4 linked regions of the Lepisosteus oculatus genome follow. Each later gene encodes a partner of the first gene's protein in a complex. Links are inferred from orthologs where the notes say so. Each region holds a gene or a part of one and is shown in the gene's direction. Other genes may lie near its edges.

Region 1 (7,420 bases):
ACAGTGGTTGGAGTTACCACGATGCAGTGCATGGCTTGCTTAGCCAATACAGGATTGTTTTTTATTGGGTTAACTGCATCTCCAAAAAGTCGTAATTGTTTAAATGATTTCCAAGGGAATAGCACTTGTGCGCTTTTCTGCTTCTCAACAGGACACATTTGCACGAGCTAAGAACTGGGTGAAGGAGCTGCAGCGACAAGCCAGCCCCAACATCGTCATCGCCTTGGCGGGCAACAAGGCCGACCTGGCCAACAAAAGAGCTGTGGACTTCCAGGTGAGCTTGTTTTCTGGCACGTGCAGGAAAACCACCTTAAACACAATCCTCCCGGAAAAGGTCCTCGAGCTACACAACACTGTACGCCGTTTTCTCTGTCGCCATCAGTCGACGCGTCCACTTTACAGCAGACCTTGCGTTCGTGTGCGGAATACCGCTTTGACGATGTCTGGGGTGGTCAGTGGGCTGAAACACGCCAGCGGGGGGGGGGGGGGGCGACTCGGGTACAAGCTCCGTAGACTCATCGCCACAAACGTGTCTCGTCGGTCTTTCCAGGAAGCGCAAGCTTACGCCGACGACAACAGCCTGCTGTTCATGGAGACATCCGCCAAGACGGCGATGAACGTGAATGAAATCTTCATGGCCATAGGTACAGTATCTGCCCCTTGGTGGGGGGGGTCACCCAGCCTGGACTATTGTCTTGCAAAATGCAAAAATCAGTCTCATTCAAGTGAACCCCCACCATCACACTTGTGAAAATTCGCCCTGCCCACATTACCACGATGCTCATGGTACAAATAGCAGCTTTGTGCATAAGTGTCTGTCAGGTCCTACGTGTACACTTTCAAGCTAGAGAAATGTATTCATTTCTATGTCACCTTAAGTAAAGAATGTATATTTGGACTTCCCTGGCTGGGGTACCCCCTTTTTCCAAGCAAAGACCTGCAGGGGGTTCCCTCTTTTCAAGCACAGCTGTTTGTTTTCAAAGTAGGTCCGTCAGTGGAGAAGTACTGATGACAGCTGGTGCATGTTACTCTAAATAATATTATTATTAATATTAATTGCTTACACCTATATAGCACTTTTCTGGACACTCCACTCAAAGCGCTTTACAAGTAATGGGGATCCCCTCCACCACCACCAATGTGCAGCATCCACTTGGATGATGCGACGGCAGCCATAGTGCGCCAGAACGCTCCCCACACACCAGCTAAATTTGGACTCTTGCGCCCAAATTAATATTGGGGGTGGGGGGAGAGACGTTGATGGTGTCTGGATCGCCATCCAGGAATCCCGATCCTAATCAGTATCTGCCGAATTGTCATTCCAGCTCAACTCTCGGTGAGTGCTTCGCTGGTTTAAATATATGTTGGTTCTCTTGGCTCCTAAAAGTGAAAATTTAATTAAGGTTACTGGAACGTAACCTCAGTGTAGGAGATGAGAAATCTAGTTCTAAATCAGAAAATGACTTGAACGGAGGGCTCCATTAATGAAGAGCAAGACTGAAAATGGGCAGGCCTCTGCAGTCGGGTGGGCCCAGGTTCGAGAGGGCTCATGCTCCCTGGATGCCAGTTTGAAAACCTGTGCTATGGGTTACTGAGGGTCGCGACCCCTCCAGCAAAGCAGCGCCGCCTGAGCTTGCCGTGTCTGTTATCTTGTAGCCAAGAAGCTGCCGAAGAACGAGCCTCAGAGCGCAACGGGCACAGCGGGCAGGACCAGAGGGGTGGACCTGCAGGAAAGCAGCCCTCAGAACCGGAGTCAGTGCTGCAGTAATTGACCCGCCGAGAGGCAGCGGACCGAACAGAACCACCCGACGACGTCGCGCAGATCCACCCGAGCCCATTCTTCCCGATCGCACTTAACGGAGCGTGCAGCTTTGTGGGTTTTTTCTCCTCCCTCCCCACCTTGGTTTTGCTGCTTTGATTTTTTTTTTCTTCTTTTAAATCATAAGCTGGAGAGAATCCATTCCATCAGCCTCTCTCTCATCTTTCTGTACAAATACTAATTCAGTGGTGTCTTAAGTCACTTTTTAAAAACAAATGTATTATACTGGCTTCTGCTCTTACCTTCTTCTCTGGTGGTGGGTGCATGTAGCGAATTCTTTTTTTTTTATTTTTGCCCCTCTCCCACCTTCCACCCTCGTCTTTTGCCCCTCCCCAGCACAAAGGCACGGGAGGGTGGGAGAAATTGGGGGAGTTGCATCTCTTTCCAAATTAACCATCTTGTAGATTATTATTGATATTATTACTATTCTGGCACAAGCAAAACAGGATATAATGAATAGGATAGGCCTAACATGGTTTTTGATCATTTATGTGTAAGAATCACAACTATATGCATAGTGCATTAACAGTCATTATTATACCAGTAAGTCATTTTTAGCATTAATGTAACAATTTTTCAAATCTGTTGAACTTATAAAAATGGAAAAAAAAGCCAGATTTTTTTTCTGACCAAAATCACACTTACGAGTATTGGAGATTATTTTGCTGTATTTGTATTGTATATTTTTTTCTTCAATATGTAACCAATCAGTACTTAATGGTCAATACAGTACCTTCCCAATATATAAATGTATTTTTTGTCATCTTTATTTTTGTGTTGGAAAGCATGAGTTTTCTTTTTTTAACTGGTCCTGTTTTTTTTTTTTAATTGGGGTTTCTGTTGTAACATGCACTGGTGCCGTCGATCAGGTAGAGACTTTGCAGATAACATCTTGTCTTTGTTTTTGGAGTCCTTTGGAATCGTGCTGTGTTGTCACTAAATGACATTAATGACTGGCACAACAGAACAAAGCTGTCCTGTCAGCTGGAGTGTGCTGTCACTGTGTGGCTCAGCTCATGTGTGGAGGAGTCCTGTTTTCAAGTATGGGGAGGCTCATTCTGTAATTCTACCAATAAACATGGAGGGGGACGTGTCTAAGCAGTGTTGTCCACTGAATTTCACTTGCACGCACGGATTAAAAACAATGACCAACAAAGAGTCAATACCACAGGAGTCTGACGCTGTTCACTCGCACATTTGAGAGATGTCATTGTTAAATTTGCCCTTAAACCAAAGCAAATAGGACAATTTAACAATTACACCTAATTACAGTGAAACTGTGCAAAACTTTTTTTCTTGAGTGTCAATTGATTAGATGGTCTCTGGTCCTGCTGTCATTCAAGTAAACAGTCTGCTTCATTGATCAGAGAAACTGCAAATTAATGATGGATCATTGATTAACATCCTATAAATTGTTTCACATAGGCACAAGGTCATTTTCTATAGATTACTATAGTCTATGCTGTGTATAGTATAAACCTCAGATTAATTGAAGCGTTATTGAAAAAATGAGACATGAAATAGTTTCCCAATCCCGGACCAACTTTAAAATCTTGTCCCAGTTTTAGGTGTCCAAGGATTTTGGTCCACCTCAGTCTCCCCATTTAATGTAACTTGCTGGATGCCTCAGAATCGAACTTTGGGTTTTTACTGCAGGCAAAATGTTTAGAGGTGGTTCAGAAGTCACAGAATTGAAGTATATGGATATCACCTGCTGTGATAGTTTTTGGTAGTTGTGGTAGCTGTGGTATCCTGGTCTGGTGAGACCACAATGCCTTTTGGTTTTTGTACCAAGCTGATTAATTGCAAGCAAAATTAGTTTATTTACATGTGCATTTTATTTAATTTTTAGGTCTTATAAAGTTGTGTGTTTGGGTAGCTCTGTGCCAATCCCAAGGTTTGAGAATTCCTCTCATTCAGGCGTCAGTGGAAATGCAGCTAATCCGATTTAGGGAAAATAAGTCACTTCCGGAGTATTAAATACGTTAACAAGTTCCTTAGCGCTGCCTGGGCTTTGTACTGTGGATGAGACGCGATACAAATGTACGACAGGCGTTGTTTCTACGCGTGAGAGCTGATTTTGGCTCCATTGTGTCTGAATACACATTTCGCTCGCCAGACCTTTTTTTTTTTACCCTGGTGACATGTTAGATGCTACACCTTTCTAAATAACACAGCGAATTTTAATTCTCCTTCTACCAGCTTTTTTTTAATTACTTTTCACCTGAATCCCACCTACTCCAAAAAGAATATACAACAAAAGCCGCGTCAGTAACAACAGAGTATCGCTGCCTAGTGGTTAGGAGGATTAGCACATCCAGCTGGCACAAATAACGTTAAATTAAACATGCATGATAATGACCAAATATACATTGGTCATTGTCATGCGTGTTGTTCATTCAAGTCCTCCGGCGTAAGCCATATCCCACAATGAGAGCTCGTGACCTTATTTATTAAAAAGACCCTGTATCTAAAGCAATTTCGTAATTTAAAACAATCCATCTAGGCAAATGTAAAAACAAACGGCAATTCCCAGAACGCCTTTCGGTGACGCATGCGCAGTTTGGAGCCAAGCCGCCATCAACAAAACTTTATTGTTCACAAACACAACGGCAGGAGAGACAATCGACTGCGGCTATTGCTATGGCGGACCCGGCGGCGCAGGCCTCCGCGCAACCCCGGCTGCAGCAGCAGGCTCAGCCCGGCGGTGCGGGAGCGTCGAACACGAGTTCGGGCTCCGGATCCGGCAACAGCGACCCAGCCCGGCCGGGTCTGAGTCAACAGCAGCGGGCCAGCCAGAAGAAAGCGCAGGTCCGAGCTTTCCCGCGGGCGAAGAAGCTGGAGAAACTCGGGGTCTTCTCCGCCTGCAAGGTAAGTCGGCGGCGGACGATGGGATGAATGCACGGTGTGGGGGGGCAGGGGCGGGAGACCCGGGCCGTGTGCCCGCTGGGCGGGCTGTCCCTCCGGCCCCTGCAAGCGACCTGTAGGTGTGTGTGTCGAGGGCCGTGAAGTGATCAATGAATGGGATCGCTCTTCAGCTGATCCAGAGCGGGGCGTTCAGCGTCGCACCTACTGGCCCGCTTCCCAGCACACAGCGTGCAATGCAAACTGGTCCAGATTACGTTTCTGTGGAGTTTTGGCATTAAAACGTCCCTGTCATGCTTAACTACCTTCGTTTATATTTGCCCGGTGTCGTCTTAACCCCGGATAACAAGTGAAGCAGCGATGATATCCGGCTATAATGTTGTTACTGTGATTCCAGTCCAAATCGTCTTTTTAAATCCCAGGCTCATTGAAATCACCAGAACTCGCTACAGTTCAGAGCAGTTTTTTTGGTCTGAAACTGAACAATTGGCCGGCAGAGAATAATTATACATTTAATTATTAGTATTTTATTAATTGACGTTTTCAAGCTGACAGTAGGCAGAACATTAAATTGCAAATCGCAAATTAGACGCAGTCAACCTACTGAAGTTTGGTTCCGCAGTAACATTAAATCAGTATCGATCAGTACATTTTTTGTGCATTGAGTGCAATGATTTCTATTTTTATAGGACCGCTTGGTCGCGCCGTGGTAATGGAAGATGAACGGAGACCGATTTTCGCGCTGCGGAGAAACGCTGGAGATATGATCTCGTATCTGACTGTTTGTCTTGTCTTTGAAGGCCAATGACTCCTGTAAATGCAATGGCTGGAAAAACCCTAACCCTCCCACTGCCCAGCGGATGGATCTCCAGCAGCAGGCAGCCTGTCTCAGTGATCCCTGCCGCAGCTGTGGGCACGCTTTAGGTATCGCCTCTCCGCCGCCCTCTCCTTCAGATCCGCTGCATGCTGCCGGCACTGGCCCGACTTTGATACCTTAGTGTTTTCTGAATATGGCATACTGATTCTCTTAACAAGGTATCTTCACATACTCTGCTAGATCTTTGAGTGTTGGTTTCCTGTGTGCATAATAAGGCATTGGCTGTAAGATTAGGACTTTAAATGAAAGAATAAAGAAAATGAGATCACTGGCTGCACTGGTTAACATCTAAATTGTTTTGGTTACATATGAATGTCTCAGGGAGGAAATCGCCAACTCGTGAAATAACGCGTAGTGTTTCGCCCACTAAGGGGTGAAAACCTCGTATGGTAACGCCAGAATCCTGCTCTTCTTCCCTGCTTGGCACAGCGGATCACGTTTCCCACCTGGAGAACGTCTCCGAGGACGAGATCAACCGCCTTCTGGGCATGGTGGTGGACGTGGAGAACCTCTTCATGTCCGTGCACAAGGAGGAGGACACGGACACCAAGCAGGTGTACTTTTACCTCTTCAAGGTACGAGCCCTGCTGCTCTCTCGTCTTCTAGCGCCCCCTGGGGTCCAGGCCTCCAGCCTGGGAGCGGAGCAGGTATTGTAGCCCTGTAGTTGAACCGGCCCGGCCATCTGGACATAGGCCATTTCATTTCACCCCCTTCCGTAGGCCTTGAGCTGCCGGTGACTCAAGGAGACCTCTGAAACGATACAGGTAATCGGAGCTAGGTGGCACAGCCCGCGCAGCAGCCACTAGCCCTGGGGAGGAGCAGTGGCACTGTGGCTAAGGATCTGCCCTTGTGGCTGGAAGGTTGCCGGTCCAAATCCCGCGGCCGGCAGAGGAATCCTACTCCACTGGGCCCCTGAGCAAGGCCCTTAACCCCAACTGCTCCAGGGGCCTGCGTGGCGCTGGCTCTGCGCTCTGAGCCCAAGCTTCTCTCCCTGTCTGTGTCTCATGGAGAGCAAGCTGGGGTCTGCGAAAAGACAAATTCCTAATGCAAGAAATTGCACATGGCCAATTAAGTGATCTGGTCTTATCTTGATTTGGAAATGTGTTCCTTGTGGCCGTGTCTTCCTTTCGGAGATGTCCAGGGCGAGCTGCGAGGCTCTTCTCAATGGCCACTCATGTGCTTGCGTTCTCCCCATGTCTTCCCAGCTGCTCAGGAAATGCATCCTGCAGATGAGCCGGCCAGTGGTCGAGGGCTCTCTGGGCTGCCCTCCCTTCGAGAAGCCCAACATAGAGCAGGTGAGGTCTGTAGCTAGCGCCCGGCGAGCCGAGCGCTTCAGAGATTGCGGTGGTTCGAAACAGTGTTGTTGTATAATGTGCTCCGCATTATACCGTCATCCCTCGCTTTTCGTGGGTTCATACTTCACGGTTTCGTTTATTCGTGGGTCAAAAAGAAAAAAAGAATTTGGGGAGCTACCGGGCAGGCGACGGCGTTTCCGCAGGCCCGCGTGCCTGGTGTGTTAGTCTGCTTCTGAGCCTTTCGCGTCCGTTAACTGTTCTCTGACACGGACCCTGGGGAGCTGGAAGAGCCTCTGGAGGAGGACGAAGATGAGTTCACCGAGGAGGAGCTTGACGAGCCTCTCAAGAGCGCCGGTGAAGAGGAAGAGCAAGACCGGCAGTGTCCCCCCGAGCCTTTTGCAGCTCTATTCCAGGACCTCGGAAGACTGGAGGACAGAATACTGCACTCTGACCCTTCAGTGGATAGGCGCGTTAACGTTGTTCGGCACCTGGAACAGGTCTTCGAGCCGTACCACGTGAAGTTCAAGGGGTTGAAGGAAAGCAAGAGGCAGCTCCCCATCGCAG
Region 2 (7,745 bases), on another chromosome or scaffold:
GCGTGCGGTGCGAGAGCAGTCTACCACGTACCCCTACCGACCGGGGTGCACAGCGACGTTCCCGCCGCCCCTGCCCGCACCCTGATGCGGCCCTGTCCACGCTCCGCCCGCCAGGTGGGAGTATGACGAGAGCTACTGCGAGGCGGTGAAGAAGATGGCGCCTTACGATGCCGGCCCGCGGCTGCTGGATGTCATCGACACGGCCATCTTCGACTACCTCATCGGAAACGCCGACCGCCATCACTACGAGAGTTTCCAGGATGACGGTGGAGCCAGCATGCTCATCTTGCTGGACAATGCCAAGAGGTACGACGCAACGGACCACTTCCTGGGGGATAAAGCAGATGGTTTCTGGCATTAACTGCGCCAGTTCTGTTTTTTTTCTGATGTCTGCTCTAGCAGTGCTAATCTCCCATAACAAATTAACTGGCAGTGATCTGTGCAGAAGAGTAAGAGAAACCTTATTTTTCTTGTTCAGACTTGGTCACAGCAGCCAGTGTCTTTTTTCATTTAATTACCTCTCCTGTTTTTAATCCTGTTTCAGCATGTGTAATTTCACCTCCCAGTTACTGAACATACTGTTCTTTCATCCTGAGTGGTCTTGGTGTGGCTGTTCTAGCTGAATTGTTTGAGACCTGGTGAATACAGGACTTGAATCAGGAATTTGGAGGAGGTGTAGCAATATTATATATCTATATGAAACCTCTAGTGCTCCTCTAACATCATTTTAGAATATAATATTAATCGATGGACATGTTTTGCTCGATCAAGCTATTGTTTGCCATGTGAATGGTGTGTGTAGCTGTGTTTCTGTGTTTGCTCGACAGCTTCGGGAACCCTGCCCTGGACGAGAGGAGTATTCTGGCTCCACTGTATCAGTGCTGCACGTGAGTATCTGCATCTCTGGCCGCTCTGCGGTGCTGTTCGTGTGCTGTTTCCCAGGCCTGTCTGCTCGAGTGTAGACATTCCCACTCTGGGGAACTCGGCTCCTACAACTTCTCTGTAAATAATCTGGATATACTTGCCTCACGATTGAAAATTTCAGGTTTCTCCTGTTTCTTCTTGGCTATTTTAACAGCTCATAGCTTTGTAAAAGGATAATGCAGTTTCTTATTTAGAACTCACAAAGCTGTGCACAAAGACCGTTTCCCCAAGAAAAAAGCAACACTTGAAAGCACAGTAACACGTCCTGAAACCCTTTGCTATTGCGTCATTATCATCACACATGTCCTGGGGTCTGGCAGCTGCTCACACAGCGCAGCAGAAACAGAGACGGAGGACGTCTTGTGACTCCACAGTCATGCGGAGGGCTAGTGGTGCCAGGCGCAGGCGTTGCCACCCTGTGAAATTCCTGAGCCTTGGGGCCGCTCCATCATAGGTACTCCAAATTCTAGCTGCCCTCTGAGCGAAGGTCTGTAGTGTGCTTCAGAGCTGATGGCTGTGCTGTGTGTTTGTGCTTTGATGGGCGGAGCGGTGGCTCTGTGGCTAAGGATCTGCGCCTGTGGCTGGAAGGTTTGCCAGTTCAAATCCCGCAGCCAGCAGAGGAATCCTACCCCATTGGGCCCCTGAGCAAGGCCCTTAACCCCAGCTGCTCCAGGGGTGCCGTATAAATGGCTGACCCTGTGCTCTGACCCCCAGCTTCTCTCCATGTCTGTGTGTCTCATGGAGAGCAAGCTGTAGTATGTGAAAAGACAAATTCCTAATGCAAGAAATTGTATATGGCCAATAAAGTGATCTTCTCTTATCCTAAAGCCACATACAGCACCAAAAAATGATGCGGGTCTTGTTTGTCTTTCCCCTGGACTTGAAGGGCGGTTGAGGGCTGTGGGATTCCTGGACAGGCAGTGTACGCCTCCATGTCCGTTAGCTTTTGGCCTGATGAACGCCCCTGGGCCGCTCTCTCCTCTCCAGGGTCCGTGTGTCCACTTGGAACAGGCTGAACCTCCTGCGGAACGGGGCTCTGAGCGCGGCCCTGCGCACGGCCACCGCTCACGACCCCCTGTACCCCGCGCTGGCCGAGGCGCACGTGACCGCGCTGGACCGCCGGCTGGAGAGCATCCTCGCGACGGTGCGGCAGTGCATCGAGACGCAGGGCGCCGAGAACGCGCTCATCGAGGACCGCATGAACCTGCCGCACCCCTAGGGACCGGGAGAGGGGCCTGGGGGGGGCAGGGGAAGGAGCAGCCGCTGTCCTGGGACGCTGTAGCCCCTGCCTTTTGGGCCTCCCCACCCCATCCGGTTTAGAGCAGTGGGGCGCAGGGGTTACCTTCATGCTGCTGGACCTGCTTGGAATTTCCCTGCTTCAAAGGTCAGCATCGCTGGATCCACAGCGGGAGCTTCCATACTGTTAAGTGACATTTCGAGTGTCTACGCCAGTGGTGGGCGTGAGGCGCTGGGGTTGCCGGGCGTCGCTGGACACGAAGCAGAAGAGGAGCGCGGTCTCCTTGCCCACCGGTCTCGGGATTCTGTCTGGGGAAGCCGTCACCGAACTTGCCTCGGGCAGGACTGTGGATCGAGCTGCCGGCTGTAGCGGGGGGCCTGCGGTGCTTTGGAGCCCTGGCTCACTAAGGGACAGCGAACTGTGCACACTAAAACGGCTCTTTCCAAAAGCGCGCGAAAGAGGACTGGGGCCGGAGGGTGGGGTTTGTCTTACTGCGTGAATAAACCTCAAGCGCTGCGGCCAACGCAGTCGAAACCTGCCCTGAGCAAAAGTGTATAGACAATGTGTTAATAATGTTGAAAATAATTCTGGGAATTGTCATTATAATATTATGTAAAAGAACTGAGGATTCAGAGTTTAGGTGTGCTGTATAGCTGGGGGGTGTTTATCTGGACTGGGACGCTGCTGGAATCCAGGAAGGGTTGTACTGGGGGTGGGGGGGTAATTGTGGAGATGATTTTACATTAAAAAATGAGGTTTAGCTGCTTTTTTTTTATTTACTACACCTGACCTATACTTCCTTTCTGTCGTGGTGCGAGAGGAAGTGTAGTGTGTGTGAAAGGGAGTCTCTCTCTGGTCTCCCCAGGAACAAAGCGAGAACACGGCTTCTAAATTAAGAGCCATAAGAAAGTGTGACTGAACCTCCAGCTTCGACTTTCATTTCCTAGGTGCCAACCTTTTGCGGTGCAGCTGATAAAGAAGTAGCATCTAAGACCGTCTCCATTTCTGACCCGGAGCTGAGCAGCCAAGGGTGACGGGTATCACTTCCTAATAGGTCAATTTTAAAATACGGTAACTTGGCACTATTCATATTTCTCTCTCTGTGCAGCCTTTGTGAGACAGAAAACATTTTTCAAGGTGTATTTTCCAGTCCTGAAGCCCCAGATACATTTTTAAAGGTAATAACTCCCCAAGTTCTAAAGACTTGAAATTATTGATCTGTGATCAAACAGGTGATAATTTAGAGATCATAGGGCAGCAAAATCGGGGCATTTGGTTTTAGCCCTCAATTGCACAAAGTACTTGGATTAATTTATCACGAATTTTCATGTTTTCCCAATTTCTGTAAGACTGGACTGGGGCTCTGCAGGATCTGATGCAGGTAAGTCTGTGTTCAGCTGAAACGACTCCAGGCCTGGAAGGCAAGAGGGTTTCTGGTTGAGCTTTATTTATCTGATTGAACTAGTTGTTTGCTTGATGGGTTCAAGTTGAAACCTTTTTTTTGTCCTAAAGGGCTACAGATTTGAAGAGCCCTATTAAACCTTCTGGACAGTGACCCTGAGGAGCACAGCTGGGTTCCCTGGTCTACATCTACTTATTATTTAATTTTTGGAAATGTTTACATCTCCATTCTAATGCGCGGCAGCTTGGTGCTCTAGTTGTCTGCCTGTGAGATTGAGATGAGGTCACCCGGTTCTGTTCAGTGGGTGAAGACTCTTCAAGAAGTTCCTCTGGGCGGATTAGAAGATTTAGGTATTATTCTGCTTATGATCAAGAAGGCATTTATTTTTCTCTACAAAAGTTTTTAAAAGGGTAAGGTGCACTGTGAAGTCCTTACACTAGTTTTTGTGAGTTTATTGTGCATTTGAAACTGGAAGCCGGAGGCTGGGTCCTGTGAAGAGTATGGTATCAGGGTGTGGTATCTTTGGAACAAGTTTTACTTACATATTTTAAGTACTGAATGTGCAACAAAATGCCTGGTGTAAGAGAGAAAGAGATTTTCTTTATAAAGTTGCTCATTTCTACTTCTGCCAATACTAGCACGGATATTCAATTCAAGCTTTATTGTCCCTAGGGGAAATTTGTTTTATATTGTACCGTTTGTTGTAATGGTTTAGATATGCGACTGAGAAACTCATTCATTTTTGCTCCTGTAGGGCTGTAGTCCACCGGGGTTCATAGGTAAACTATAATCGTTCATCACTAAAGACCTGGAAACGGTGATATACGACTGCATTGAAGCTCTCATGAATCAAAGTCAAGAAGTGAAACGCATTGCTGCTATCAAGGACAAATATACTGATGGGGGGGTGGAGAAACGCAACATTTTCTGGAATGAGAATACTATAGGAGGAGGAGGAGGAGGTGTTGCGTTTCTTTTTTCCATCAGTGTCTTTCATGTGTGATACGAACTATATTTTTCTTCGTAACTACGAGACGCACATGAAATATTTTTTTCTTGATGGCAGTAGTGCGCTTCCTTAATTATGAGTTCAGGAAGGTGTAAAACGCAATGTACAGCGGTCCTCTAAGACACGCATGTAAAGACATATCCGTGCCTTTGGTACCTGGACTGCGCTTCCAGCTCTGATACTGTAGGTGGTGGCGTATGTCAAAGCGGAGTGCTATAAAAATACACCAATAGAGGCGTTTTTAAGGAAGTTTTGTAAGGGAGCAAAGCGGAAGACTGCAACTAGGCGGGCTTTCTCCCCCCTTAGCAACGGTTCCTCCGTACAGCCTAGCAACCTCCTCCGGATCCAGCATAGGACCGGGGAGTAGTCCGGCGCTATGGCGGCCCATGTCAGCGAGCTGGAGGCGGCGAAGAAGAACCTAAGCGAAGCCCTGGGAGAGAATTTGAAGCAGTGAGTAGGCCAGGCTAGGCTGCCCGACCATGCCTTTAAAGACGAATCCCCGCCCAGGGCTGTAATTTACCAGCGGAGCTGGCTCCCAGCGTCAGACGCTGAGTAGGCCTTGTAAAGCAGCGGGCTTTCCTGGCGTTGTGTTCCCGTCTTCCGCAAGCAGTACCTGCTCGCTTGCCTTCTGTTTAGAAACAAATGCTTGCTGTATTTCTATTCGTTATTTAATGCTTTTATTTGTTGTCTTCTTTCACCTCGAACACAGGAAGTTACTTTTAAATTATTTTATTTTTCTTAATTCTGAGCAAAAGTAGCACAAATCACGGTGGTGGGTATTCGAAACTCTGCTAGTTCTGTTCGGTCTGCTTGTTTGTCTTATGGACGATGTGCATTACTGTTCAGTTCAAGCCGCTTTTACAAGAGCCAGAGGTTTCTCTCCGTTTGTGTTATTATTTGAGAGAGTTTACTGCAACATCTGAGTCTTAGTTACTGTCGCAAAGTTGGAGCTCAGCTCTTGTGTAGTTAACGGGACTCGCCGGCGCATTTCGTTGTTTGGAATCTCGCTCAGGGCTGTTCTTGGCTTTATTTCACCGGATTGAAGTCGTTTTGCTGGCAGGCAGTTTTGTTCTGGATTCTCGGTCATTAATTTAACGTTCACTTGTAAGTGTCCTGTTCCACCAACCTTCCTGACTTCGCAGGAAATCTGCGCTGTGTCGTGTCTCGTCTCCTGCACACCTCTGCAAAGCCTCCTCACAAATTTAGTTTTGTTCCGGGCTAAATTCCAACGTGTGGCAATGGTGGCGGTAAATTCCCGCTCACAGGTGTATTCAGCGTGTGCTGTGTACAGCACCATCACTTTGTCCCACACAACCTGGGGCGCGTCGTGTAGCTGCAGAGGTTTGGAGTGTGTCGCAGACGGAGGCGCTCTCTTGTACAGACGTGTCTGTGACTTTCTGCAGGTACTGGGCAAATCTGAAGCTGTGGTTCAAACAGAAGATCAGTAAAGAAGAGTTTGACCTCGAGGCCAGGCGGCTGCTCAGCCCAGGGAACGGTAAGAACAGGCCTTCTGCAGGGGGGCTGCTGGGTAAGACTTGTCCTGCTTTATTGTAGTTGGTGTCGAAACCTTCAGCAGGTAAAAGTCTTCCACTGCAGCGTTCGGACTGCTCTGTTTGGTGGAATATTTTGTAAATCACCATTCGTTGGATTTTTTAAAATTTATCCTCGCACGTTCCTTGCTTTCTAACAGTGTTGTCTTGAATAAAGTGATTCCGAGCCCAGGGTTTATCGGTTGGGGTAAAGCATTCAGGGCACGTGTCTTTGAGAGTGTCCTGGTCAGTAAGTGTCCCTATGTTGCATCTTTCATTTTACAGGAATATAAAACATTTTACACACACTTTCATGTTTAGGATCTGTCTAGATATTTGCTTGTGGCACTTATTTTTAATAATAAAACGGTGTTAAACCCAATGTTCAAAAAGTTTTGAATGCCTTCTGTAGATAGGTGTATAAAACTCCTTATTTTAAAGTAATTGTTTATGAACAAACAGAATCCTCACCAGTTTTTTTTTTACACCCACTTGATTTGGAATTGCCAGTTGAGTGTTTCTCATGACTCAGCTTGCATCCATAATCCCTGCTACCTCAAAGGGGAATGTGCTCAATTGGCGGCAGACTCCCCTCACTCTTCCATCTTTGAGCCTGTTGTCACAGGCAGCAGAGGCCCACACCTAAGGCTCAGTGCTGATTGGAGGAGAGGCGTGCCCCTCGCCAACAGCCCAGCATGCCTGCAAGTACTTGGAAGCCACAGGTGTCATTGTCAGCAAGAGCCGAGAGAGCCCTTGGTGGACTAACCCTACTCATCCTTGGCACTCAAACCACCATGCTCAGTTACAGTTGGCTGGTGACATGACCCACGCCTCATGAAAAGCGCACGTTTACTGGATCCAGTCATTTTTTGGCATAGTTTTTTGTTCTGAAGAAAATCTGCGAAGGTCTGACTTAACCTCCTAAGGCACTTTGACATATAAAAGATGTGGCACAATACATTTACACTGGTTTTAAAATGTACACTGTAACTCAAATCTTGTCAGTTTGTTACTTTTTTTTTTAGTTTTCCTCATTTGAGAACTTGGCTTCTTAATTCTGTGAAGTCAGCAGTTTCATTTTACCTTTTCAGTCAAGTGTGGTAAATATTAGAAAGTTTGAATGCCAAAAACATTTAGGAGATTAACCCCTTGTGAAAGAGGAGGATGGATTGCCGCACACACTGACACCTGCTGGCATCTCTCTGCAGTGCACTTCCACAATGACTTCCTGCTGGCCATTCTCACCCGGTGCCAGATCATGGTCTCCACCCCAGGTAAGAGGCTTTGCGATCGCAGGGAATTTTTTTTCCTTTGTCAAATTGAAAACAAGACCACAGTCAAACTGTAATATGTCTGGAATGTTGAAACTGTGTGGTAGCAGTTCCAGTTTGAATTTTGCCAACTTTAAAAAAAGATAATACTTTTAACTGTCCTGGAGATTCCATGGTTATCCTACATACAGTCATACCTGAACTCTTCTCTGAATCAGTAAATTGGCATCCTATGCCTAATATTTCTTAAAATTCCTTCATTTCCCCACATGAGTTTTGGTTAGTAGAAGTTCCCTTTCCCTGGCACACAGACAGTTGTCAGTAGATGGCAGCAATCTACACTTAAAGTTCGGGTGCAGTAAGACGTAAGTCT
Region 3 (7,689 bases), on another chromosome or scaffold:
GAGAGGCTGTCTGAAGTGGCAAGGGATGTCAGTCTTGTGGGAGACGAAGCAAGTGAGTGGTGTACCACACACTCCCAGGCAATTCGGAATATTATACCTATAGGGGAGACAGAAAAGTGGTTTTGTTCTAATTGTGACTGTGTTGAAGGGACTACACTCCCTTATGAGTTCTCCAGCTGGCTAATAAAGACATTGTCTGCATGGTAGACCATTCTTATTGGAATTGTCCTCCTACATTTATTTTATAGAACTGAGCCTCTCCAACCAAAGATTCAAGCTTACACACCCTGTGATTCAGATAATGGATTTATTTGATCTCCTGTTTATTATATATGCTTAACATTTAAAGATTAATAGTCTGTCATCTCAAGAACAATGCAGTGAAGGCCAATTATGATTGTAACTGATGCTGAGATATTGTGGCATGCCTTCATTTAATCATGGACAGGTGATATAATAGCCTTTTCTGGTGTGCTAAGTTGATTTGTTACTGAATTTTCTACTAGACTAGTTATCTTACTTTGCCTTTAATTACAACACAAGTGCCTTGAAATTATATATCAATTTAATATTTTGTTTGTTTGTTTGTTTTTTAATATTAGAGTATGAGAATACACAGCATTTGGTTAAGGAAAACATTCAAGCCAGTTTAAGTAGAACACCTATATCGAGAGGGAAAAATTAAACTTAGCAAGTAAAAGGTAAATCAAAGAATTCCATAGAACAAATAAAGTGAAAAGTGTACTGATTAGTCTGCTCACATTTACTGTTTATAGCATAACATAACTGGTACACTGACACAAGAATTTCAGGAGCAAACTTAGTTGATGGTGTATGCCATACAATGGTCAATTCCACAAATCATTATTTTATTTGGAGAGATTGTTGTTATGTAAAGGCTGCATGTTAAAACTAGTTAACCTTTTTATTGATAAGCCAGTAATTGACATGTTGTGTAATGGTTGCATTATAGTATTGCGTGATAATTTCTTTTCTCTCACCTTTCATTTTATTTAAACATTTTGTATGTGTGTTAAGCCACTTGCGTATGATTGTACTAGATGTATCACTGATGCCTTAATAAAGTAACTTTCTCCTAAATGATTGCCATTTTTATTGAAACTTTTCTGTTGTAATTTTACTTTGAAGAGCTAGGGGCCTCATCACTGCCTGAAAATGTTGGTGGGGTGGTGGCTGCTTTCGTGCTTCTAAACATTTGCAAAACCTTTTCTTGCCCAGTGAGTCTGAAATAAAATAACTATTGAAATGTAGCAAATCCTATAAATCAACAAAAACTTTATTCCTATTTAATAGTCACATCAAGCCGCTATGTAACAAATGTCAGTGTTTGCCTAAAGAAAAAAAATGTAAAGACTTGTTAGTGTTGATGTACATTAAAGGGGTTGAAAATGTCAAATTTCCCAATGTTATTTATCCATCATAAACAAATTCAGAAATCATTTGTTTTACACTTAAGCCTACAGTTTGCAGAGGAATTTACAATAAATACTCTCGTCCTCTTTTCTTATTTTGTATTTTTCCTCTGTAATCCTGTTATATGCAACTTCAGAAACCTAAAGAATTCATCATATTGGTTCAACTGTGAAATGACTGGGCCTTTTGCTGACTTTGGAAAGATGTACAAATGGCTAAGGAATCCATAGCCACATCCTGCCACTGTTTGAACTTATGTCCCCTACAGCACTTTTTTTGTTTTAGGCCTCGAAAAAGCAGTCCAAACTCCTATATACTCTTAAATTCAAAACACCGACTACTTATGGATAATACATTGTATTGCTGAAACTCTTTTTCCTACAGCGCACTACAGAAAAATATTTTTGTATAAACTGTTTTACCAGTTGATCTTGCGTAAGAAACAGTAGTCTTGAACATCAGACAGCTGCTTAGTTTCAGTGAATCATGTGCAAGCTACCAACTTGAATTTGAGCACATGGGATGATCTATGAACCCTAATCCGTCAAATCTACAGACTACTACTCAGCCATTAAGGATGACAAAAGCCAGGTCTGTCACTTCGACATGTTTGTTTTCCTCAACTGGTAATGTAACAGTTAAATACCTCTTTAACTTGATGGTTAATTCTGCAAATGTCATAGCAGGCTAAAGGCTATACAAATATACCAAAATAGCTGTGGTACTGTATGTGTTTTGCTTCTCAGAACTGATACTTGGTATTTCAAAACCCATGCAGTGATAGACTTAACATTGTTTTTCAAATGTGCTTTACATTAGGTTTCAAGTTAGATAAATATATTTTAATATTTGAATTTGAAAATGAAATGTTATTCTTTTATAATAAATGTACATACATGTAAAATCTGGAATATACTTAAGCAATATGTTCAATTGGTTCTACTAGTGTAAAATGTAATATGTTGAAGTATTAAATAAGATATACTTTGTTTTCTAACTGTAGTTTGTTGAAGTTGGCACTACAAAAACCGCAGTATATTCTACCTCACGTGTTGACTAGCCTTTCATTAAATCTCTGTTGAGTCTTAGCCAGCATAGCTATTGCAAACTAAAGTTCTAAATTTTTATTAAGCTCTCATAACTAGCTAGTAGCATTTAAATGGATTACTGTTGTTTAGGCATTACATGAAATGATCTGAAGTTGATGATGTATAACATAACATTTAGAGTTTTAGACATTTAACAATGTTTTATGTTTAACATTGTGAGTAGTCTAAAAGTTTAAACTTAAGCAGTGCAGGCTTGTGAAAATGTTGACACCACATGTAAACAACTCCATTTATGAAGAATTTAAAGATTGTTTAAATCTAAAACCAAGACATTTTAACACACAGCTCCTTGCTGCAGCATCTTAATTCATAAAGTCAGACCTAGAAATGTATGCATCAGTGGCATCATAAGTGCACTTTGAAGCAATGCAACATGCATATCTGTCAGGTCAGGTGAGATTAAAACAACTTTCAAAACATAGTCCTTTTTTTCTGGGTACCCCAAATCAATGTAGAGGAATCTAGGAACAGGACCAGGACCACAGTACTGTCCTCAGTTTCCAGTTTACCTAATCTAAACACTTTGGATGTGGTGAATCATTAGAAGAATGCTGAACACCAACTGGCAGGTGTGTGTATTGTTTGAATTCACTGTGCTTTCTTCAAAAACAGTAAAACTGTTCTTCTGAGCATGAGCAAATATTCGAGTCGCAAAACCCAAAGTTGGGCAGGGGTAGATTTTCAACAGTTTTGGTACCTTATCTTCATGGCCTTACTTTACTGCATTGTATTCTGTACCTGCTCAGTACTTTAGTTCTGATTACTCAGTCCTGTATTCAAGACATATACTGTAATTAGAACATGGTAATAAAGCTATACACAAAACATATGTTACAACATGCACACCAGCATTTTCTTAAATGTTAACACTACTGTAGACAAAAACAAAATCATATATTTATACTACATGATTGGATCTCACTATTTGTAAATCAGCTTTCAAAAGTCATTCTTTTTATAAAGGTGTTGTTAATTACACCTGTTTTTCTTGTCTTTCTGCTTGCCTCTCTGGTTCTGCAGTTTTTGCATTTGATTCAAATCATAGTTTCGGTTTAGAATTTTGTTTTACAGGCTCATTTCTAATCAAGGAAAAGTGGGCCTCAGAGAGGCTTCATGTGGTTCTGCAGAAAGAATGGAGGTGAAGAAGTACACTAACAGGCTTCGTGCAAAATAATCTGGTTTCCCTTGTTAGTTCCCTAGTAGTCAGACTGGAAATGCCTTTTCACTTTTGTTTGGCACAGTAAATAGCAAGATTCAGAAAACAACACATGAAGACTAGAATGTGAGAAAAGAAATATTGTGCCACTCCAGTAAGGGGTTAATGTATGGTGTCTACACAAAGGATTTAATACCAGAAGACAGATGTCAAACATTTGCAACACCTGCCCTCACAAACAGATTCAAAACAGAATATTAAAGAACTGCTCCTTCATTGTACCAGTTTGTTTACACAACATTCATAGAACCTCAGCAAAACTGGGCAGACCTTTGTTCTTTTGTGTGTAGAAAGAGTCTTTAGTGTCATAATAAAGAAACCTAAGACGTCAATATGTTTGTCAGACAAAGGGCTCAAATGATCCAGTTTTTCTTTTCACAAAAATTTCCAAATAAGCGATTCAAAAGCATGATATTGTTGCTTTAATCCAAGATATGGTCAGGTTTTTAGAAAATTTGAATAGACGCTAGGAATACTCTTGTCTTGATCTGCACCATTTTGTAAAGGTGGATAGATATCAGTGCCGCGATATCAGGTTGTGTAGAAATGGCATCTAAAGAACCACATACTGTACTAGACTGTTCCTTTAACACAATAATGATATTTTACTTAGCAAGTACCTTTTTTTTTAGTTATCGAACAAGTTAAAAATATTAATCTAATTTTGAAAACAAAATAATTCAATGGTATTTTATACTTGTTGGTCTACAATGATCAGTACTGTATGCTTTTCTTTAACATGACAAATAGCTAACATTAGACTACTCCATTTCATTTTTGTAACAGAGCAGATTTCATCCACAGCTTCCTGGGACTGACCAAAGTGTGCGTATCTGTGTACTGTATATCTGTATCAACATAATCCAGGTGAAAAGCAGAGGGTGAAATAATACGTCAGCAGTATTTTGATCCCACAGGGTGCTGTAGTTTCTAGAAGGAAAGGTGTGCAGAACAAAGGAGTGCCCTGAACAGGTCCTCATGGCGGGGACCAGGTGAGTAATATTCATATGAAACAGGGCGTACACTCCATGATGTTTATTTTCCACTCAGTGTTACAGTCCATATTACATAAATACTGCTAATCTCTTCCTAGCTTTGCATCACCCTATAGCACATCAAAGCAATCATGACAACAACAACAACAACTATAATTATTGCTTTTATTGTTGTTCTTATTTTAGTTGCAGTTGTGCTGTTTTTGCAGATTTTCTTACTAAATATATAAATGTTATGGTTTACATGGAGAAAAATGCTTAAAGACATTACAATTGATTTCTCCACATTTAATTAATTTGTTAAAACTGTGACAAATCAACCTCAGGGTTTCTGAGGCTGCAGGAGTGGTTATTAATGAAGCGCGGCAAAAAAAAATTCCTCATGTCATTTCATGGCAAGAATTCAAGAGAAAGGGTTTCGTTTCTTATTGTTAGGCTTTCAAGCAAATATCTTAACACTATATCTCTTGCATGATAATATTTCACACATATCATAAAACCAGAGAATAGCACTGGTAATTTGCATTAGTAATCAAGATATTTGCAATCCTTCAGTGAAGCTTAATATGATTTTCCTCATTCTAAAATTTGCCATTTTTGAGCTACTTCTAGTTCACAAGCTTATACGGTAGTACAAGTGTGTCACACCTGAAGAAGGCTCCACGGCCGAAACGTTGTGTTCTCTTTCTTCTTTTTTTCAGCATGGAATAAACATATTACTTGTTCCTTTGCAGCCTATGCATGCTGACGCAGCTACCCACCTGAACTACTATTACCTTTATTACGTGTGCATACGGGAGCCAAAGCCAATGACTCAATTCAGATACAAAAGGACGCTTTTTATACAAAATCACAAACAGAAAACCCACCCAGAACAGTTCCAGTACAATTCCATGCCATATATATTGTAAAGCCAAGGCTGCTAGCCTTGGTACTGTACGTGATAAACTGTAAGAATATTCTTGGGTTCCTTTAATTATTGTTTAAGCAGACAGTATGTACTTCTAGATTTTGTTTATCATGGGTTAAGCAGATATCGGGCACTCTCAGTTCTGTTCAGGTTGTCCGATGCTGGCTCTGCCCTTCATGTTCCAGGTATGTAGCCGGCTCACACTTAAGTTGCAGTTAGTAATTTTCCATTATTCTAGCAGGATAGTTAGTAAAATTATGTTAGTAAATGATTTACACAGTAAAAGCAAATTAGTGAAATAAGAGACGTAAATGTTTGATCCTTCACTTTAAAATGGGCTTCAGTTTTCCCATAAGATGGTGTGAGAACTTGTTGCACTTTGTAAATTCATGCAATAAGTGACTTCTTAAAAATGTGTTGCAGGGAAAAAGTAAAAAGTAAAATTCTCTGTGGACAAGAATATGTGGACAAATTAAACCCCTGGGAAATGCAAACTTTTGTATTTGTTTACTGCTGTTGTGCATTGCATTGGCCGCAATAACTGCATCTGAGCACTGCACTGTTATCGTGTTCCTTGTACTTAGGCCCAGTGTTCTTCTAAGGTAATAAGACCTCACTAAAAATGCAACATCTATATTTTGATCAATGATCATAACTTAAACACTGGGTTCTTGGCATAAATGGCACTGAAACTGTGAAATCAGCTCCTGTATTCAGGACATCCTTTTTAGTTTTCACTGGAAGTCAGAAGCTTTGTCTGCTTACAAAATGAATAAGTCCAAAGATGTGGAAACATTTGGGCACACCTTAAGCAAACAACAACTGATAGCATTGCAGGCATCCTTCACAAAACATCCTTCCATTGCTTTACGGAAGAAATAACATTTTCTTTTGTTCTTCATTTAAGTAAAACCAGTGACTTCTGCTGCCAAGAATACTGGCAATATCACAATGCCTAAGTACATTTCATTTTCATAATGTCTCTTTTAATGAAAATGCGATCTTATCAGGTCCAGAGAACAGGGTATATTTTATTTTATTTTTTTTGTTATGAAAATAGACATCATTGTTATTTTCATCGCATTAATAAAAATATCTTAGGAAACGAAGTGACTTTATATTCCTCTGCCTGTCATACACAACGCTTAATACTATAAAGTCCCATAAATGTTAGAAAACTTCAATTATTGTACTGGACTTTATCACTACCTGTTGTGTTCGTTGGCACAACATTGCTAGGATGTACAGAGCAATGTCCTCTACCGGTTACTTGACGGTATTGCGTGGCCTAGCGTTCTCTGCAGGTTCATGGCGCTCACACATTAATGTCCAAAAAAAGTATTGTCTTTGAATCATATCTCCCGGTGATATATTACCCTTTTCGGCGCTTAATTTCTCGGAATTATACCACCATCAACGCGCTAATAGTCATCTTTTACATTCTTTGCACCTCCAGGCCAAAACTAAGTTGCGTATCCCCGTCTGTTTCTGCAGTTTCTCGGCGCTGATCCCGGGCATAAGATTGGGGAAGTTTGGGAAGACGGGCTGCTTGGAACTGGGTAAGGAATTGACAGCAGCCGTTTTATAAATCACGAAATCCACGATTTTATAATAGCAGTATAACCAGATTATTGCTCGTTTGTTAGGATCTCTCAAAATAAAATTGAGCGGCGAGCTTGAAAATTTTATTTCGGTGCAGGCCGCAGGCTTTTACCGGACTCGATTAATGATCATTCCGGGTAGTAGCTGCAGTACTAAGGCAACACAGAACGGAAGAATATAGTGTGTTTTTGCTTTAATATGGATCTGCTCCAAGCTGTGTGAGTTTCATGCTTGATAGCGTTACGCGTTATTAGTGCCTGACACATGGTTTTATCTTGTAGTTATTTGCAATTCATACCGTTTTTTAAAAGTGATGTCCGCAGCACAGTTTACTACCCGGTGATTTCAGGCAAATAACGTAATTATTCGAAAATACAACTGATTCGAAGTTTAGTGCATTTGATTATTAATCTTTTTATTGTG
Region 4 (7,180 bases), on another chromosome or scaffold:
AGCAGAATAAATCCTGGAGACAGCTGCGGTGAATTTAATCACGGACAAGGTCACGCTGTAAACCGAGCAGGGAGCTGCGTCAGCATGCCTGGGCTGCAGAGGAATAGGTTCATTCTTCTGGAAGGAAAGGGAAAGGAAAAGAAGAAGGCTCCGAAGCCTAAACAGTGTTTCTTTTCTTGACCTTTCAGAATGGAATAAACCTTTGCGTGATACCATACTGGCATTGATCAATAACCGTTTCTTTTAAAATGAGACAGTATGTCATTGGAACAAGTAAAGGTTTATTCCATGCTGAAAAGAGAAGAAAAGAAACATAATGTTTTGGCTGTGGAGCCAAAACTCCACTTTGGCTGTTCAGCATGGAATAAACCTTTACTTGTTCCTGACACAGCTCCCTACTTGAACTACTTCAGTATGTCATTGGCCAGCTCCTGTGTTTTTCTGCCTGAGAGCGTGAAAGAAATACACTTGTCTTTCCACTTTCTCAATTCCAGCATCAGCCTTATCGAACCAGGCCCTGTGATCACAGAATTCGAGCGCAAAGTTTACGAGGAAGGCCTAAAGACAGACCTCACCAAAGCGGACAAAGTGACCGCAGACATGTTCACCAACATCTACATGAAGAACTACAAACAGATCTTCGAGAGCCTGGGCCAGTCTCCAGAAGATATAGCAGAGGTAGGGATCGGAGACATGCACAATAAGCTCCTGACTTCCAGTATTCTGTTTGCCATGTGCAGCTCCAGTAATTTGTGGTCACTGGGTCAAATATACAATTATTCATTTGGCACTTTGAAGCTTTTTTTAAATAAAAATATAAACCTAGGAGCAGTCGATGATAATGGATCATCGTGTAGCCTGGATGATACCACAAAGCTGTGTTTAAGGCAAACAGCTGCTGATGTTGCATGTGTAGTTCAGGCAGTAAACACAGCATATTGCTGATTTCCTTCTATCACACAGCCTCTCGGAAAGTAACATTATTCTTCAGACATGAAACATATCGCCCATCAGCAAAGAGTTTCACAGAACAGAAAATGAATTATTGCCTATTCTGATTTTATATAACTGAACCAAAATGATAAATTGAAGTATTTCCTGTTTAATTTTCATAAAGATTCAGCTTTTTACATCTGCTTCCTCAGCACACGCTCAAGATCATCAACGCAGGGACCCCACCCTTCCGCCACCAGACCAACACCCTCTACACGCCCATGACCACCCTCAAGTACGCCGACCCCAGTGGCGACCTGCCCATCGACACCTTCTACAAGATGGTGTTCGAGCACGACAAGGTCTTCAACGCCAGCCTGAACTTCATCAAGCTGCTGCGCTGGAGGAGTCGCAAGAGCTTCTCGCTGGGGAAGCCCCAGTCCTAGAGCCGCGGGCATGCCCCTGCGCCGCCGCCGCCGCCCCCTGCAGCTGCTCTCCGGAAGGACGGCCTCGCCCGCGCCCAGCCTCTCTAGCCCCCCCTCGCCAGGATGCAAGCCTGCTCAGGAGACTTCGAGTCCAGGGCTGTCCCGCCCCGAAGGCGGGACAAGCGTGTGGATGAGTCTAGAGCAAAGGCCCGCGTGGTGCATCTTTAAAAAAAACAACTGATTTTCAAACCTGAGTTTTTCCTCGGCGCGCTAATGCTTCATTCTGTAGAGGTATTTTAATAGCCTGAGCTGGAGAGCGTGGAAGATCGAGTCTGAAACAAGTACAGTCCAGTCTGGTGCTGTGTGTGCTTGACGCCATTTCCCTTTCATCTGTTTTTTGGTGTTGAATGGTGAATGGTGTGCTGCCTTGAATGGTCACTGTTTGTCGCTTCTGCTTGTCTGTTGTTATATTATCACCTACAGTAATAACCCACTCTGCCAGCAAGGGCAGTCGAATGAGAGGAACTGGCGCAGAGGGACTTGGAGTGTTGGGCAGCATTGAATGGGCTCTCCGTCTCTCCTAGAGAAAAGGCACCAGAACGGTGTTCATAAAGTCTGAGTCTCGTTCTCGTAGTAAAAAACCCCATGGATAACAGGTACAAAAGGTTACATTCCAATGCAATAAAACAACAAAATGCAAATTGTATATGCTTCCTAAACTGTGTAAACGGATAGAGATGAGATGTGGTTCTATTTAGAGAAACTCTTCCTGTTAATGGAGTGTTAATAAAGGTTGTCAGAGTCCAAGAGTGTCCAGCCTTGCACCTGTGATACGTTTCTCCCAGCTGGTTGTGGGGGATGAGGATTGAGAGAGCTGTAAAAAGACAGTTCTCAGTAATGAATGAGGCACACTGTTTTTGCACTTGTGTTTGAATTCTTTATTCTCAGTTGTTATTGACAGGCAGCCCTGAAGAGCATGTGTACACTCCGTTTACAAGCAGCTCTTCAGAGCCACTGAATTTCTACAGCACATTCTTCATCTGGAACTCACCAAATAAGAATAACCAATTCACAGCTATGCATCTCTACATTATTCAGAGACCAGTGTACAGTATGTCTTCTCCTGGAATGCACTTAAGGTTAAATGCAATTGTCAATTGGCAGTTGAGGTCTTTTGTCAAAGGGGTGTACTGCCTGCATGAAGTACATTAACATTTAATGAAGTGCGTTCGTGAAATTGGTTACTCTGAGTAATAGCGCTATTTGGAGAAAAATATAACCAATCAGTGTCATACACTAGTACTAAAATCAGAAGGGCTCTACCTCTGAAAGTGGGGTATTGATGTACTTTAAATGAAATGTCATCATTTTGCCATTTTACCAATGGTATATCTTTAGTATTTCGTTGTAATTAGAATAAAATGATAACATAAATCAATGTTGCCTGATAAGGCAATAGGTTACTTAACATAAAATCTTTCTGTAAAGACTGTTGAGTAATTAAATCAAAGCCCAGCTCTAGAAACATATGGCCTGGTAATGGGATTTACTGAAACTAAATCCCACAACACAGTGAAAGATCTAAGTGACACAAACACAAATCTTCTGTATATGTAGCCATTTTATCTGCAACAATCAAGCAGGACACCTGGTAAATCTTACTCTGTAACTTCACTTGCCAATGGAAAATCAACCAGAAATGTGTCTATCCTAAAGATAAAGCCCATGTGTACTTTTTCTGGCAAATGGTGAAGAAAACTTTGGAAAAAAAGAAACATGACACCTATCAAAAGCACACCAGCAGCTTTTATAGAAACAGCTTTAGATAGATAGATAATACTTTATTAATCCCGTAGGGAAATTGATGTGTTACAGCAGTCCAGCCCAAGACAAGCAAAACAGACATCAGAATAGTTATAAAACAAAAGACAAACAAGATAAATAAAAATAAATAAATACATAGGTGTGTGCAAAATGTGCTGATCATAGTCACTGTAAAAACAATAAAAAGACTAAGACTAAAGACTTTAGACTAAGTTGTATAAATATAAATTTAATATTATATTTAAAAATAAAACTGAGGTTCTTGGAATAGAATATTCTATATATAATCCATCTATAGAATCACAGTGGTGTAGTTCAGTGCTGTTTATATGAACACTAACCTATCCTCATCTTTAACTTAACTATCATTCTACAGAGTATACATTTATAGTAAATTATTAAACTTTTTGCTATATTCAAAACTTTTTTAAAGATAAAAGGCTGCTGACTGTGCATCGCCCAGGTGGCGGATAACGTGAGATCCTTTTAGATAACAAACGTTATATAACCGCGAGGAATTATTATTATCCTGTGTCGCTAAAGCTCATGGCAGCCAGAAAGCGATCGAAGTAGATGTTGGGGGCGGCGCAGAGTACAGGTCTGTGAATCGGGAACACCGCTGTTGCACCTTCAAAGGAGGTTACTTCACCGCAGCGACTCCTACCCACCCAGCTGAGCAAACGAGTCCAGCATTTCCGTGGGTTAACCTGCAATGAAGTAGCAACCTGTAAGGGGGTAATTTCAGTCCTTTTACTGTTGCCGAACTCAGGATAAGATCAGGCTTGATAAGCCTCTAGGCTACGCTATGGACGTTATTCTCACGCAGAGTTAAAAATGCATTTGTTTGTCTATGCGTATACTGCAGGTCAGCCGACTTCAAGGGAGCTCCACGCTGGGCAATTTCAGACCCAGCCACAGAGCATCCCTCTGGCTCGAACTCCCCCTATTGGTCGCTGTGTGGCAACATTCCGTGACGTCGCCGGATGCGGAAAAACGTCACCCGTTGCAATATGGGATAGCTTCCGGAATCGATTAGAAACCCTGCTGCTTCAACGCCTGGTGCTGTGGACCGAGCACCGAAATGAATTAACAAAAGTATTATGTTATTCTCGGAGCTGGTGTTATAAGCCTTATTGTTTATAACATTAGAGAGAGAGAAAAACAGTCCCTTCGAAACTGTGGAATTACAATGCAGCGGAAGCCAGTCTAAAGAGTTTAGGATCATGTGTAAATTAAATAGCAGCTGAGGCGATAGGAAATCTGCTTGGAGACCGGCTGATTTGATCCTGTTGGTTTCTCCTACGCTTTTTTTCTGGTGGATGAAAAATCCAATAGGTCGCTTTGACAGCGTTAGACACTGTGCAGGGTGCAGCGCCATTGATGTAAAAGCAGGGATTTGGGGTGTACTTAGGAGTTTGGCGGAGAAGCTGTAGGTTGGTGCAGTTGAGACTCCGTTCGGGCCGCCGTGGAGTCGAATCGCAGCTGAGGTTCAGTGTTTCGGGAAAAGGACGGCAGGACAGAATGGCTTCTTCGTCTGGGAACGACGACGATCTCACTATACCCCGGGCAGCTATTAATAAAATGATTAAAGAAACTCTTCCTAACGTGCGGGTGGCGAACGACGCCAGGGAGCTGGTGGTGAATTGTTGCACTGAGTTCATCCACCTCATTTCGTCGGAAGCTAACGAGATCTGTAACAAGTCGGAAAAGAAAACGATCTCTCCTGAGCATGTAATACACGGTAAGAGTCGTTACCGATGCCTATTATTCAGTCTCTTTTGGGGGGGCGAACTGTTTTGCTCGCAGATTTGTGCGGCTAAATCGTTTGCTAATGGGTCTCGTTTTTAACCTCCCCCTTAAAACCACTCCCACTCGCTGACTTTGACAGCGAGGCTTCACACACTGTTGTTGTATTGTGTGGCTTGCTTGTTAAAGGGACAAGAAACAATTATGGCAACGCGTTCTACGGTTTGGGTACAGCCGAACCCTCTGATGTACATATTCCTTCACCTCCTGGATTTATTTAAATGTAACGCAGACAGACCAACCCTGCTGCGAAGCTTTGTCATGATCCTTACAATTCTGTACATGATGGGAGCAAAGTGCTTCCTGAGAGAAATGACAGGAATCCTGATGCTTAGTGTCATGAATTACAGCAGAGGTGCCGGAGGTACTGTGTGCTTTAAACCTGGAACAGTGACTTTCGTGGGTGTCTTAAAACAGGACTGTCTGTTTTGTCTAGCGCTCGAGAGCCTGGGCTTTGCCTCCTACATCACCGAAGTAAAAGATGTGTTGCAAGAGTGCAAAACAGTCGCGCTCAAGAGGAGGAAGGCAAGCTCCCGCCTGGAAAACCTCGGCATTCCTGAGGAGGAGCTCCTTCGGCAGCAGCAGGAGCTGTTCGCCAAGGTAAAGCCGCCAAACTCGCATTCCGTCTCCTCACCTTGTCACTGCAACGCTGGGGGGGTCTGCTACTCTGCCCCAGTGGTGCAAGTGGGAGTCTGCTCTTCCTGGATCATGCGTGCAGTAGTGCTCTGTGCTGTTTGAGGACATAAGGATACAAATGACAGGAGGCCACACCCAAGATGCTTTAGCTCATCCTGGTTGGCGTAGAATGATGCAGACAAGAGCCCCACGGCTCCATCCTGGTTTACCCTGGTGGAGCAGAGCTGGTTACAGTACCTCACTGGGGGTACACCAGCGCTCTGCAGTGGGGACTTGTACCCATAGCCTGCCAGTCAAGAGTCCAAAGGCTCACCCTCTACTCGACACCGCCTTGACCTTCGATCGGGTGTTTCATTTTCTGTGGATGTGCTGCCTTCATAGTCAGAACGCTCTTTAGCCCGCCTCAGCAGAGGAGCAGTCCTCACGCTTACTGAAGTGAGGAATGGGAAGCTTTCGGTGTGGTCCACATCCTCTTTGTCCTGCTGGTGCCGTGACGTTAAAGTACCAGCCCCGTCCAAACCTCGATCTCGTTGAATGTGTGGAAGGGCTAACAGAGCAGTGTACGGTACAGGGTGGCCTCTCCCGTCGGCTGCGTGCCCCAGCCCCTGTAGGGCCAAGACTGGTTTAGATTGCAGGTGAAGGTGAAGCCACAGGAAGTCCACAACAGGAAGATGGGAGCTCCAGCGGAGCCCTAGCAGCTTGAGCCAACGCTGCGGGCTGTGAGGCTGTGGGCTAGAGTGTCTGAACGCCAGTGGAGCTGGCGAGGTGTGCGCTGCAGGAGTGTCTGAACGCCGGTGGAGCTGGCGGGGTGTGCGCTGCAGGAGTGTCTGAACGCCGGTGGAGCTGGCGAGGTGTGCGCTGCAGGAGTGTCTGAACGCCGGTGGAGCTGGCGAGGTGTCCGCTGCAGGAGTGTCTGAACGCCGGTGGAGCTGGCGAGGTGTGCGCTGCAGGAGTGTCTGAACGCCGGTGGAGCTGGCGAGGTGTGCGCTGCAGGAGTGTCTGAACGCCGGTGGAGCTGGCGAGGTGTGCGCTGCAGTAGTGTCTGGACGCCGGTGGAGCTGGCGGGGTGTGCGTTGCAGGAGTGTCTGAACGCCGGTGGAGCTGGCGGGGTGTGCGCTGCAGGAGTGTCTGAACGCCGGTGGAGCTGGCGAGGTGTGCGCTGCAGGAGTGTCTGAACGCCGGTGGAGCTGGCGAGGTGTGCGCTGCAGGAGTGTCTGAACGCCGGTGGAGCTGGCGAGGTGTGCGCTGCAGGAGTGTCTGAACGCCGGTGGAGCTGGCGAGGTGTGCGCTGCAGGAGTGTCTGAACGCCTGTGGAGCTGGCGAGGTGTGCGCTGCAGGAGTGTCTGAACGCCGGTGGAGCTGGCGAGGTGTGCACTGCAGGAGTGTCTGAACGCCGGTGGAGCTGGCGGGGTGTGCGCTGCAGGAGTGTCTGAACGCCGGTGGAGCTGGCGAGGTGTGCGCTGCAGGAGTGTCTGAACGCCGGTGGAGCTGGCGAGGTGTGCGCTGCAGGAGTGTCTGAACGCCGGTGGAGCTGGCGAGGTGTGCGCTGCAGGAGT

What was found.
Region 2: kat2a (region 1) and tada1 share a complex: the UniProt entries of both Homo sapiens proteins name them as parts of the STAGA transcription coactivator-HAT complex. The link is inferred for Lepisosteus oculatus from reciprocal best matches to the Homo sapiens genes KAT2A and TADA1.
Region 3: kat2a (region 1) and yeats2 share a complex: the UniProt entries of both Homo sapiens proteins name them as parts of the ADA2A-containing complex. The link is inferred for Lepisosteus oculatus from reciprocal best matches to the Homo sapiens genes KAT2A and YEATS2.
Region 4: kat2a (region 1) and dr1 share a complex: the UniProt entries of both Homo sapiens proteins name them as parts of the ADA2A-containing complex. The link is inferred for Lepisosteus oculatus from reciprocal best matches to the Homo sapiens genes KAT2A and DR1.

The regions. Positions count from the first base shown.
Region 1 is NC_090723.1:5,256,009-5,263,428, forward strand, and holds the start of kat2a (histone acetyltransferase KAT2A), read left to right. Parts: upstream 1-4,416; 5' UTR 4,417-4,462; coding exon 4,463-4,690; intron 4,691-5,484; coding exon 5,485-5,608; intron 5,609-5,990; coding exon 5,991-6,136; intron 6,137-6,766; coding exon 6,767-6,856; intron 6,857-7,420. Other genes in the region: rab5c (ras-related protein Rab-5C), read left to right, coding at 152-274, 551-644, 1,657-1,772. UniProt on the Homo sapiens protein: Protein lysine acyltransferase that can act as a acetyltransferase, glutaryltransferase, succinyltransferase or malonyltransferase, depending on the context.
Region 2 is NC_090704.1:31,671,032-31,678,776, reverse strand, and holds the start of tada1 (transcriptional adapter 1), read left to right. Parts: upstream 1-4,731; 5' UTR 4,732-4,948; coding exon 4,949-5,022; intron 5,023-5,975; coding exon 5,976-6,067; intron 6,068-7,309; coding exon 7,310-7,375; intron 7,376-7,745. Other genes in the region: fam20b (glycosaminoglycan xylosylkinase), read left to right, coding at 115-306, 828-887, 1,912-2,143. UniProt on the Homo sapiens protein: Probably involved in transcriptional regulation.
Region 3 is NC_090708.1:11,813,395-11,821,083, forward strand, and holds the start of yeats2 (YEATS domain-containing protein 2), read left to right. Parts: upstream 1-4,680; 5' UTR 4,681-4,751; intron 4,752-6,944; exon of another isoform or gene 6,945-7,158; 5' UTR 7,159-7,223; intron 7,224-7,415; exon of another isoform or gene 7,416-7,484; intron 7,485-7,689. UniProt on the Homo sapiens protein: Chromatin reader component of the ATAC complex, a complex with histone acetyltransferase activity on histones H3 and H4. YEATS2 specifically recognizes and binds histone H3 crotonylated at 'Lys-27' (H3K27cr).
Region 4 is NC_090704.1:1,929,500-1,936,679, forward strand, and holds the start of dr1 (protein Dr1), read left to right. Parts: upstream 1-4,173; 5' UTR 4,174-4,703; coding exon 4,704-4,923; intron 4,924-5,424; coding exon 5,425-5,588; intron 5,589-7,180. Other genes in the region: retinol dehydrogenase 8, read left to right, coding at 495-678, 1,146-1,379. UniProt on the Homo sapiens protein: The association of the DR1/DRAP1 heterodimer with TBP results in a functional repression of both activated and basal transcription of class II genes.